3 linked regions of the Coturnix japonica genome follow. The main gene of each other region encodes a partner of the protein of the gene in region 2 in a complex. Links are inferred from orthologs where the notes say so. Each region holds a gene or a part of one and is shown on either strand. Other genes may lie near its edges. The genes, in order: STK26, STRIP2 and STK25.

Region 1 (3,649 bases), on a different chromosome or scaffold from region 2:
TTATACATCACCTACCAATGCTTGGGCCTTGCAAGACAGCCAAATTTAAGGGAGAAAATTATTAAGACTAGCTGAGTTTTAAGATTTATTCAACAGTAAATTCCCATTTGAGCTCCAAAGTTCAAGATACAAAGGTACCCCATGTCTTTGTGATTTGGGAATTTTGCACCTTTTTGTGTCACGATAATGGAAAATTAGCACCAGTCTTATCTCAGTGGTAAGGAAGATGACCCTAACTTATCTCAATAACGTTTTTAAAATATCTACTAACAGACAAATAACACTACATTGTTAAGTAAAAATGCTTAGGGGCTGTCTGTATTTCTTAAAATCACATTTACAAGTCAAAGATGCAAGCTGTAGCTAAAGAGCAGCTAGGCTGCAGAATATAAGAGTATCTCATATGGCATCAGTTGAGCTGACTAGGTTACAAATTAGTAAGTCAAGTAATTGAGATAAAGACACTCTTTCCTCCTCCTGTTCAGTTTCTGCTTAGCAGGAGGATCACTGGGAAGATCCTGAGTGCTGCTGGTAAGTCACAGGGCCACTGGGACTGGGCCGCTCCATTCCTGTTAGTAACAACACTGGCTCTGCATCCTGACATGCAAGAAACTAAGAACCATGTAAAGCTCCAGAATATTTAAAATAAATTGTATACAGAGGGAAAAACAACCTCATCTGAAAGGCTGAACAGTTACAGAATCCTTGCAGTTAACATACGTTGTTTAAAGTTTTCATCATAACATTCAATTATCAAATGTGTTTTCTTACAAAGGAGAAGAGCTGAAGCTGACTGGTACTTGATGGCAGTAACCATCTGCTTATTTGAAGTTCAATAAAGTTGGTTACTTCTTAAATACTGAAATACACTTATGCTCTTTTTGCCACTACCTTTGAAAAGTATTTCTAGGAGCTATTTTCAATAATCTTTATGTATAAAACCAACAAGCCTATTTGATCACTCCTGATGTAATCTTGGTGCCAGTCATATCCACTAAGAACTGCTATTGCACTCAGCAGCCTAAGACTCTGCTTTCTATGAAATAACAGACCTTAAGTTTCAGGATCTAGCCTCAACATTCTTTAACCTTTAATTATTAAGTCATTTTGTACAAAACTGTACATACTTCATTTCCAGAAGAAGTCTACAGAATATGCAGAACAAAATACTGAACAGCTTCATACTAAGGCTGACAGCCATCCTCAGAACTACAGCTAATAGAAAGTTAGAAGCTACAGCAACCTTAGTTTTTACTTTTAAGAATAGACAGATAGTACTCTCGAAATGCTTGTCAGTACCAAAATTAGAGTCAGCATAAAAGATTATTTGGACACTTCTACCAAAGCCAATACACTCTCCCACCTGAGAAATCTCAAGCTGAAAGAACCAGTACTAGCAAACAAGGATGAATCTAGTCTAAGGCAGGGAAGAGCAAGCAATAAAATTAACTGCCATGCTAGTATGGGATTAAAAACAATCCTGTGATTTATTTTTTTAAGGGAAGTTTCTTAAGGGAAAATAAACAAAATTTCACAAACAACTCTACAAACATCACCCAAAAATGTTTCCCCCAAAATAGTAGACAAGAAAAACCAGGGGACCAGCATTAATCTTTCAGAATGCATTAAAAAATGGAAAGAACCCAAACAAGGAAAGTAATGCAGAATTAACACACTCCTGCGCTTGCCAGGAATTTTTAAAGAGCAGAAAACCCAGACCAGGAGCTGGAAGTTACATCCAACTATTCTGTCAGTGCTATACATTCATATACTTCCAATTTTTATCTCTGTAGGGCTGAGCATTGTTGTGTGTGTTGATGTTTCCTTTTTTTAAAGCTTGTTTCTTAATTTAAGCCTTAGATAACACGAGAGTTACATAACCACTTTGTACTGTTGTCAGTTCTACTTTGTTTCAGGCCTACTATAACACACAACTACAAACATCTCCACACGGTGCAGCGTTTCCTTCCATATCAAAGGAGGGTTTCTCTTTTTTGTTAGTCTAGCTATGAAAACATATTTTTCCCCCTCCAAAAAGGCTCAAAATTTCACTGGAAGTTGTGAGGGAAGAAAGAAGAGAAAACCTCTTCCTCCATGTAATTTTATAAGCTCAATAGCAATAGGAATCTTCTGTCAACTCCGCTCCTTTTGTAGCCATTTTGTGAAGATCTGAGCTTTAAGGAACATGCAGCAAAAGATGCAGAACAAAGGCAACTCCATTCAAAGGGAAAAACAGAAAGTCAAGTTGATGTGATAACACTTTCTCAGTTATAGGAACTTCCCTGTGCATCATTCAAAATGGGCTGACACATTGCTAGTAAATGTTTGTGCAGTAAGATACATTACCTTTAAATATGATCCATAGTATTTCGTTACATAAGGACTATCACACTGACTTAAAACAGTTATCTCTTGCTGTATATCTTCTATTTCATCTTCTGCTTCCTCGAGGTCTATGATTTTTATAGCAACCACTTGCTGCGTCCGATTATCAATTCCTTTAAAGACTTCACCAAAGGAGCCTTTCCCAATGCGTTCCAGTTTTGTGAATAATTCTTCTGGGTCTGCTCTATGGTTCTAGAGAAAAAGTTAAAATAAATAAATAAATAAAAGATGAGCTATCTTCATTTACTTCCAAGTTATTAGCCCTCATTAATGCCCATGAAACACATCACCCAGATTTATCATTATTAGAGTGCTCGTATCAGATGAATTTATTTCCTATACACTCACTTCTAATTCAGCTATTAGTTACAAAATGTATATTATACAATTATGTCAAAGGTAAGTGAATTTCACCATCGAAAGCAACAGGTACAAATCTCATTTCCCACATAATGCTTTTAAAGGAAAGAATAGAGCTGTTCTTAATACTGATCCTGTCTGTGTGGTAATTCAGAAGTCTACAGAATGCAATTACTGGCACAGAAGTGCTAACATCATTCCCCATGTGAATAAGGCTGGGCTCACCTATGAGGTCAACAGCCTTGGGCAGACAAAGCTCCACTTCAAGTAATAAAACACAGAGGTAGCTGCAAGAGGACTACAGCACCCGGAGCCCATTAGCAGCATCCTCCACCCAAGCACACTGAGCTTTTGAGATCTGCTAAGATGTAAGGCAACAAAAGGCACTGAGAGACATTCAAAGGAGTACAGATGCAGAAATTAAACTTGAAGCACTGGTCAGAACGAGCTGATATCACCCAAACACGCCTTGGATGAGGAACACAGCACCAGACAGTACAGCACTCATGAGGACATCTGGTTTCCTTGGAAGGTTAACTGCTCTATGATCAGCACTGACATCATACAAAGGTCTTAACGCTTCCCAGCTCCATTCAAGGAATCAGAGGGAAGAGAGAAGAGGACCTCTAACACTTGCAGCAACTTTGCTGCTGCTAACTTGCCGCGAACAAGAAAACCCAAAGGCCCTCTGATTCTGATGTCTCTCCTGTATCCCTACACGTCATGCTTACCCAGCAGATCAAGTGAACTGCCCTGACAGAAGTGACAGCTTTGGCAAAGGCAGCCATTGTGCATCTGCTGCATGGATTACCCTGCACAACACACAACTCTAGTACCAACGGGAAACAAAACATCTTTACAGCATCATTTTGAAAACGGGTGCAAAAATCATCACTGGGAAAAC
Region 2 (3,649 bases):
TGCCAGGAAATGTGATATGGCTGTGATGTTAAATCAGTGCAACAGAGTTAAAACAAACAAAAGACAGCATAAATATTGGCTGAAGAAAAGAAACACAACTACGTGCACTAATGTCACTGAAGAAGCAGTGAAGCAGTGTGTGTTTGATTTCTGTAAATAGGCACTGGATTTTTATAGAAATGGAGTTAGCAATCAATAAAAGAGGGAGGTGAAGAAAGAAAAAGGGAGGAGAAGAAATGAAGGAAGAAAAGAAGAAAAAAGAAAGGGAAAGAAAAGAAAGGAAAAGGAAAGGGAAGGGAAGGAAAAGGAAAAGGAAGGGTGAAAAGGAAAAGGAAAAAGGGAGAAGGAAAAAAAAGACAAGGGAAAAGGGAGAAGGAGAAAGGGAAAGGGAGAAAGGAAGGAAGAAAGAGAAAAGAAAAAAGGGGAAAAAGTAAAAAGAAAATGAAAAAATGAAAAGGGAAAGAGAGAAAGATAAAGAAGGGAAGCAAGGGAAGGGGGAAAAAGGAAAAGAGGGAAAGGAAAAAAGGAAACAAGGATAAAAGGAGAAAAAGACCACTGTGTGCCACTAGAGCTCCCAACGATGTGTCACTAGATGTCCCCATCGGGCCAACTTTGGCTCATCAAAACCACAGAAAGCCTTTCCCTTTATTTCTGATTGCAACGTGTTCACAGCCAAGGAAAACGACATAGGCTCGAAATTTTAGCAGCAGCAGTGAGATAAATTTTCAAGCCCTTCTACAGGAAAAAGTCTATTTTGGGGCTGAAGACACAGAAAAAATGAAAGAAAAGTCCTTCCTCACCCACCTGCATAAAGCAATACTGTTACAAGTGCTCTGCTTCACTTACTAGGCTTTCTGCAGTGAGCTCAGGCAACTCGTGGACTGTACAGTGCGGGTAATCCAGGACAGAGATGCTGTGGAAGATGGGAAAGAAGAGACTCATTAAGGACAATCGGCATGTGAGCCTAACGAGCAGAGCCCTCCCTGCTCCCAGGCATGCATTAGTGGGGGTTTGGAGGAGGTGGATCCATTAGGACATGGCAGATCAGTTATTTGTGTGTATATTAAAAACAAAAACTCATACGAAAAGCAGATTTTAGGTTAAAATGGAAATATCTGACAGCAAGAATATTACCAGCAAGATAATGCATGGCAAGGGCGTTGAGTCTTGCCCAAAGTTTCCAAGCCTTCTGTGTCTACTGCCTTTCTAAAAGTAGCCAACCAAAAAACCCTCAAACGTACACATATATAATATATGTGTATGTGTGTATAATAATAAAATGTACTTTAGACATACATTTTATTAATACATATAAGTGGGGTTTGGTTTCTTTTTGGAAAGCATCTGGCATGGAGAGGATTCAGTGCCACACTTTGCCCTTGCTTGAGCATCGTGCTGTATTTCCCACTGCAGCATCACTGGCCATCGCATGCGTGGCTGTACCTGTTTTTGGCAGTGATATAGGACATGATGTTTTGGTTGAAGAACTTCAGGATCAGCGGGATGCAGTTGGCAAACACCAAATGCTGGGACACATACTCAAACTGGGGGAGAGAAGCGAAATGGGTCAGCGTCAACAGGAACAACTGGAAGCGTGTGCTGGGAATTTCCATTTCCAGTTTGGATGGTTTGCTCTGAACCTGGCAGACCATCTTCCTTGTGCACAAGTCTGCTGTGTGAGGCTTGCATCACATACAACAACTCCCAGCATCTGGAAAAGTGTGTTGACACACAGAATTTCATGGCAAGACTCTAGAAGAGGTGCACCCAGTGAATGCAGGTCGCTTTTCAAGGTAAAAACTGGGGGAAAACATTAAATATGGAAGGAAAAGGAGGAGACTGACTACTACAAAGGATATAGGGTAACTTCCATTCTGGCTTCTACAGTTCACAGAATTGCAGGGGCTGGAAGGGACCTCTAGAGATCATCTACTCCAATCCCCTTGCCCAAGCAGCTCCTTCAACCCATTTGCACAGATCAGCAAAAAGAACAGATAAGGAAAAGAAAGAAAGGGAAAGAAAGGGAAAGAAAGGGAAAGAAAGGGAAAGATAAGGGAAGAAAAGAAAGGAAAAGAAAGGGAAAGAAAGGGAAAGAAAAGAAAGGGAAAGAAAGGGAAAGAAAGGGAAAGAAAGGGAAAGAAAGGGAAAGAAAGGGAAAGAAAGGGAAAGAAAGGGAAAGAAAGGGAAAGAGAAAAAGAAAAATGCCCACTAATTGTTTAACACAAATCAAACTGCATCTAGGACCCTGAGCTGGTTCTACTGAGGCCAGAGCCCTGAGAGCTCTACCCTGCTGAGGACCTCACGAGTCCTGCCTAGCCCCACTGCTCGTGTGGAAGTTGGGCACAGCAGGAGGAATCCTGCCTAACTCCTCCCCACCCCGGCTGCCAGGAGAGGCTCCCTCTGCTGAGATCTCTGGAATTCTAACCTGATTAACCACAGCATGTGTTCATCCACAAGTCAGAGAGCTCTTTCCACATGAGTGGAAACCACCCTGTCAACAAACAGCCAAAGATATATTGCAGGCAGGTTATTCCTGCATGAGTAATGCTCTAAAAAACATGTCCCAGAGCCAGGGTTCATCCCTACAATCCACTGCTCCTCTTGGAAACATTTCCTGGAGAGCTCCAGTAAGGATGCACCAGCCCCACGAGCACCAACCGTGACCCCTTCTCAGTGCTCACCTGGTAGATGTGGTTCAGCTTGAAGTGCTTGAGGAGCAGCAGCAGTAGAGCCGAGATGCTCTTCACAATAATCTCCTTGTGCCTGTTCACATCAATCCCCAACTTCATGCTCTGCAGGACAGTGATGCTGGCATGGTGAGGGAAGATCAAGGCTAACCATCAACCTGATGGGACCATCACTGACCCACATCCCTTGGACCCCACATCTGCAGCCCCATGCCCACATTTGGGGCTCCCTTAACCTATTTGCAACTCCCAACTTTCCCACTTGGTCCAAGGCTGGAACAGCTGGAGGTATCTCCTTCAGGACTTACGGCATCTCCTCAGGCAAGACGTCTGCCAGGATGTTGATGGAGTCAGTTTTGGCCTTGGAGGTGGGCGCTGCAGCAAGGAGGATCTTCAGCAGAGCGATCTGCAGAGGAGGCAGGTGTGGAGGCAAAGGGCGAATCCCTTCCTTTTCCTTGAGACTAGACAACTTCAAGCCAGCTCTAGAAGTTTCCACCAGCCCAAGGTTCACTCATGGTGATGGGCCAGCTGTGCCAATGCTCAGCTCTCCTTTTGTACTCAACTGCAGGCAGCAGGGCAGCTCAGCTTTTGTATTAAGTTGATGCACTGAGCTCTAGTGGTATGGATAAAACAGCGCTGCAGCTTATTGCATTTAAATGTTTGCCTCTCCCTGCAGACAGACTGTAGGTGGCCCAAAATGCATCTTAAAAGAGCTGAATTTGTGAATTGTAGTGTGTGGGAATCTCTTGAGTCGGTGGGAAAGCTGAAAGGGATGTCCCACTGTCCTATCTCCAAACACTGGACCATGCCTCTGGGTATCTGACCTCCTCGATCCTCTGGAACCCTCCTCTTGGAGATGACTTTCCACCCAGCTCTGCTCTGGATTCCCACCGAAATCCCAACGTTCAGATCCCTAACACCCACAGACCCTATTTCATTTCTAAGGAACACAGGCTTACCAT
Region 3 (3,649 bases), on a different chromosome or scaffold from region 2:
AGGAGCTGAATTTCAGCCATCATAACATCAGTGAGAACTTCTGCCTTCTGGCTGTGGAGTGCCAGGGTACTGTATCACAACTTTGCTCCCTCTAATCAGTTCTCCTCTAAACAAGCCCTGCCTTCTGCTGTTGATTACAGGTCCCCCTGCTGCACCCTTCCTCCAACTCAGTGCAGGCTCAGCAGTTTTCACTATATGACCTTCGTTCCTTCTGGAAGAACAGGCTTAATAGTCCCAAAGAGAAAAACAGAATCCTGTGAAAGAACACAGCACAGCAGAACTTTTTTTGTGTGTTTACTATCATTAGTGTTCCCCTGAAGTCTGAGGCAGCTTGTTAGACACGATCAGTATTATTAACACACCTGTAAATCCCAACTGTAGGCCAGGCCAGGTCCCTGCCAAGCCTGATGTCATGCAAGCACTGAACCACAAACTCCTGGCAGGCACAAGACTTCAGTTAGGTGAGCTGTGGATTTATGTTGCTCAAGAACAACTTACTGCTGTCAAATTTCATTTCACTGTTTTTTTCCACTGTAAAGCAGCAGAACACCCTGGAGAATTCTGTTTCAACAGCTGAGCTCCATGCAAACATTTCCTCTGTCCTGGGATATGCATAACCAGCACATCCGCCCTGCACTGCCTACCCTTCAGGCACAGGGCTGTCAAAAAGACGTCACACATCAAGCCAGCATCTGCCTTATGGGCATTTCACAAATCAAAACTTCAGCCAAGATATGTCAGGGCCCAGAGCTTACCACACACTTACCAAATCCAAGGCTGAACCTCCTCCCAGGTACTCCATGATTATCCACAGCTTGGTGCCCTGCAAGTAACAGCACAGTCCAAGAGCAAAGACAGCATTAAGACCAGGCAGACAAGCAGAACACTTGAGGTAAACAGCCCCTGTACACAACACAAGGAATGTTGCCTGCCGTGGCTCTCAAGAGGCAAAAGAGGACCTGCTCCTGCCCCCAGCATTTCTTTGTCTTCAGTTCTGCTTAAGCAAGCTTAGTAACACTACAGGCACCAGACTGCAGGGAGATAAGCATATTGTCAGGCTGGAGCCATTCAGCATCACTCCAACAGATCTAGCACATTTTGCCAATGACAGGGGAGCTTTGCAGCCTTTGATCACACTAACAGGATTCCAGTTTGAAGGGTATGGTCAGCAAGGCACTTACTTTCTCCCTAGAGAAGATATTTCCAGACTGAGGAGATAAACAGCTGGTCCACAAAACTACAGCTTTCATGGTGGTTTTGGCAGAATGCTGAGAAAATGCATTATCGACTGTGAAAAATATGCAAGGAATAATCGGGATCCAAAGAGCTCAAGGACTGCTGTGCCATACAGCCAGTGTTAAACATGCCTCCAGCAGCTGCCATCACCATTAGGAACTTCTACTGGGGGTTCCTGAACCTGTTTTCAGGGGGAACAACATCACCTCGTTGCTGCACCACTCCTTCAAAGACTCAGACCCTGTTCTTTTCATTATTTCTTCAACCCTTCAGTACTTCCTTCCCTGCTCCTGTTCCCTTATAAGGTAGGGAGTGTGGTAAGAAAGCTCCAGACCTTGATATGTGTAAGTGCTGCCCCACACCTGCCTGCTAGCTTGCAGTGGAAATGAAACAGGCTTGAAGGTTTCAAGCCATCCACTGGAAGCATCCAGTGCTCCGGTGGAAATATCACAATCACAAGATCAAGACAGGCTCCTATTCTTTTCAGAGATAGCTTGGATCCTTCTACAAACATAAAGCCCTCAGTGCTACTACCTTAGAACTGTGGTATTTCCATAAAGCATTCCACAAATTTCCTTTTGAGGATGCTCAGATAGAGGAGGGATCTGCCTTTTCAGTGAGGAGTTTGCTCTTCACTCAAGTACCCTGCTCTTGGGGCCGCACCAGGAACCTCATTTCCACATGCAAGTGTCTTGAAGACCAGCCTCATATGAAAACTACACACACACAGTGGGCAGAGCCACTGCTGCTCCTGCTGCCACACTGACTCGATGCCCGTGGACTGGGACCTGAGTGCTGTTTGCCATCACCAGCTGCGGGTCCTGCAGAAGCCCAACCCAGTCCCCAAACTGCTGGCAAGAGAATTACCATGGCCTTGTCCTACCTTCAAGTAGGAGCCATAATACCGGGTGATGTAGGGACTGTCACACTGGCTGAGCACCGTAATCTCCTGCTGAATGTCCTCGATTTCATCCTCAGCCTCCTCCAGATCAATAATCTTGATAGCAACCACCTCCTTGGTGCGGTTGTCGATCCCTTTATACACTTCACCGAATGATCCTTTGCCAATCCGCTCCAGCTTGGTGAACAGTTCCTCAGGATCCACCCTGGAGTGCTAAAGGAGAAAGGAAATAAGGCAAAAGTCAGCAAGTCCCACAGCAGCCTGCAGAGCACCGTGCATATCAGAACTGTTTGCCTTGCATCTTCTATCTACACATCTGCTGTGTTGTTGAATTCACCTGAAGCCCACAGGCCCTCCATGGTCTCCATGGGCTCAAAAACGTATCACAGAACATGTCTAAGATAAGAGCTGAAGCAGACTTTTACATGGGGTCTGTGCCCCCTGCAGATCACAGCTGGGGAGGAACAAGAGAGAGGCCAGAAAGGAGAATGTCAGCAGGATCCATTCCTAAGGCAGCAGCTCCTTTGGGACCAGACTGATGTGGCATGCAGCTCAATTACAGGCACCAAACTGGGGCCAAATGAGCTTCATGAGCAAGGATGCATCCATACCTGAATGAAAGGAAGGTGAGGTGTATCACAACCAGACTCTGAAGGCTGGGATGAGAAAATGGGCACAAGTCAGAGGCAATCAGAAGTTCACAAAGATGTTTCCCTTCTCACATTCAAATATTTGACTGATTTGAACCGATTTTCACCTTCCCTACTTGTTTGGAGGGCAACACACTCCAGCAATGCAAACACCAATTGCCATCAGCTGCCTTTACCGTAGCCTGGATTTCAGGCAGACCCAGCCCTGATGGAGCCTCGCATCTCTCAGAAGGTCAGAGCAACAGAGGGAGGAACAACAACAACAAGCACAAGAGAAGGAGGAAGAATCATGCTCTGATGCTCTTTCATTCAGTTCAGCTGCACACCAGGAGGGCCTGCTCTGCTTCATGCTATTAAAGGGCTCTTTGTGATTCATTTTTCTACCTTAAAAAATAAGGTCTAGTTTAAACAAAAGAGAAAAAAATATATATATATGGAAAATACAGCTTGACCTACAGGAAGCAAACAGTGGTTACAGGGAGTTCTCCACACCCAGAACTTCTCAGTCTCACCTCACATGTCACCCAGAGGGACCACTCCCATGCGAGGACCTTGAGCTGGGCAGATTTTATCTGAGCACAAGGCAGGGTGTTTGTGCATCTAACACCAGGTTTAGCAGCATCCCTGGGTGCTGCTTACTGATTAACCAAGCAGTCATTACACGTTGCCTGCCTTCTGCACCCAGCATGTTGCTGTAGGGAGTAAGCTTCACAGTCAGCTCACTCAACAGGATTTCCATGTGCAATCCAGTCCAAGATACAGATAGATAACCAAATATCCTTCTGCATCCATGGCAACACCCAAACAGGCTGTATTTGAACAAATGCACTGGGAACAGACTGGAGGGGATAGGCAGTGAGGA

Evidence for each region.
Region 1: STRIP2 (region 2) and STK26 share a complex: the UniProt entries of both Homo sapiens proteins name them as parts of the core of STRIPAK complex. The link is inferred for Coturnix japonica from reciprocal best matches to the Homo sapiens genes STRIP2 and STK26.
Region 3: STRIP2 (region 2) and STK25 share a complex: the UniProt entries of both Homo sapiens proteins name them as parts of the core of STRIPAK complex. The link is inferred for Coturnix japonica from reciprocal best matches to the Homo sapiens genes STRIP2 and STK25.

The regions. Positions count from the first base shown.
Region 1 is NC_029519.1:3,354,106-3,357,754, reverse strand, and holds part of STK26 (serine/threonine-protein kinase 26), read right to left. Parts: intron 2,578-3,649; coding exon 2,347-2,577; intron 1-2,346. UniProt on the Homo sapiens protein: Serine/threonine-protein kinase that acts as a mediator of cell growth. Modulates apoptosis. In association with STK24 negatively regulates Golgi reorientation in polarized cell migration upon RHO activation.
Region 2 is NC_029516.1:802,798-806,446, reverse strand, and holds part of STRIP2 (striatin-interacting protein 2), read right to left. Parts: coding exon 3,647-3,649; intron 3,094-3,646; coding exon 2,996-3,093; intron 2,809-2,995; coding exon 2,682-2,808; intron 1,545-2,681; coding exon 1,444-1,544; intron 914-1,443; coding exon 847-913; intron 1-846. UniProt on the Homo sapiens protein: Plays a role in the regulation of cell morphology and cytoskeletal organization. Required in the control of cell shape. Calmodulin-binding scaffolding protein which is the center of the striatin-interacting phosphatase and kinase (STRIPAK) complexes.
Region 3 is NC_029524.1:3,903,522-3,907,170, forward strand, and holds part of STK25 (serine/threonine-protein kinase 25), read right to left. Parts: intron 2,351-3,649; coding exon 2,120-2,350; intron 824-2,119; coding exon 767-823; intron 1-766. UniProt on the Homo sapiens protein: Oxidant stress-activated serine/threonine kinase that may play a role in the response to environmental stress.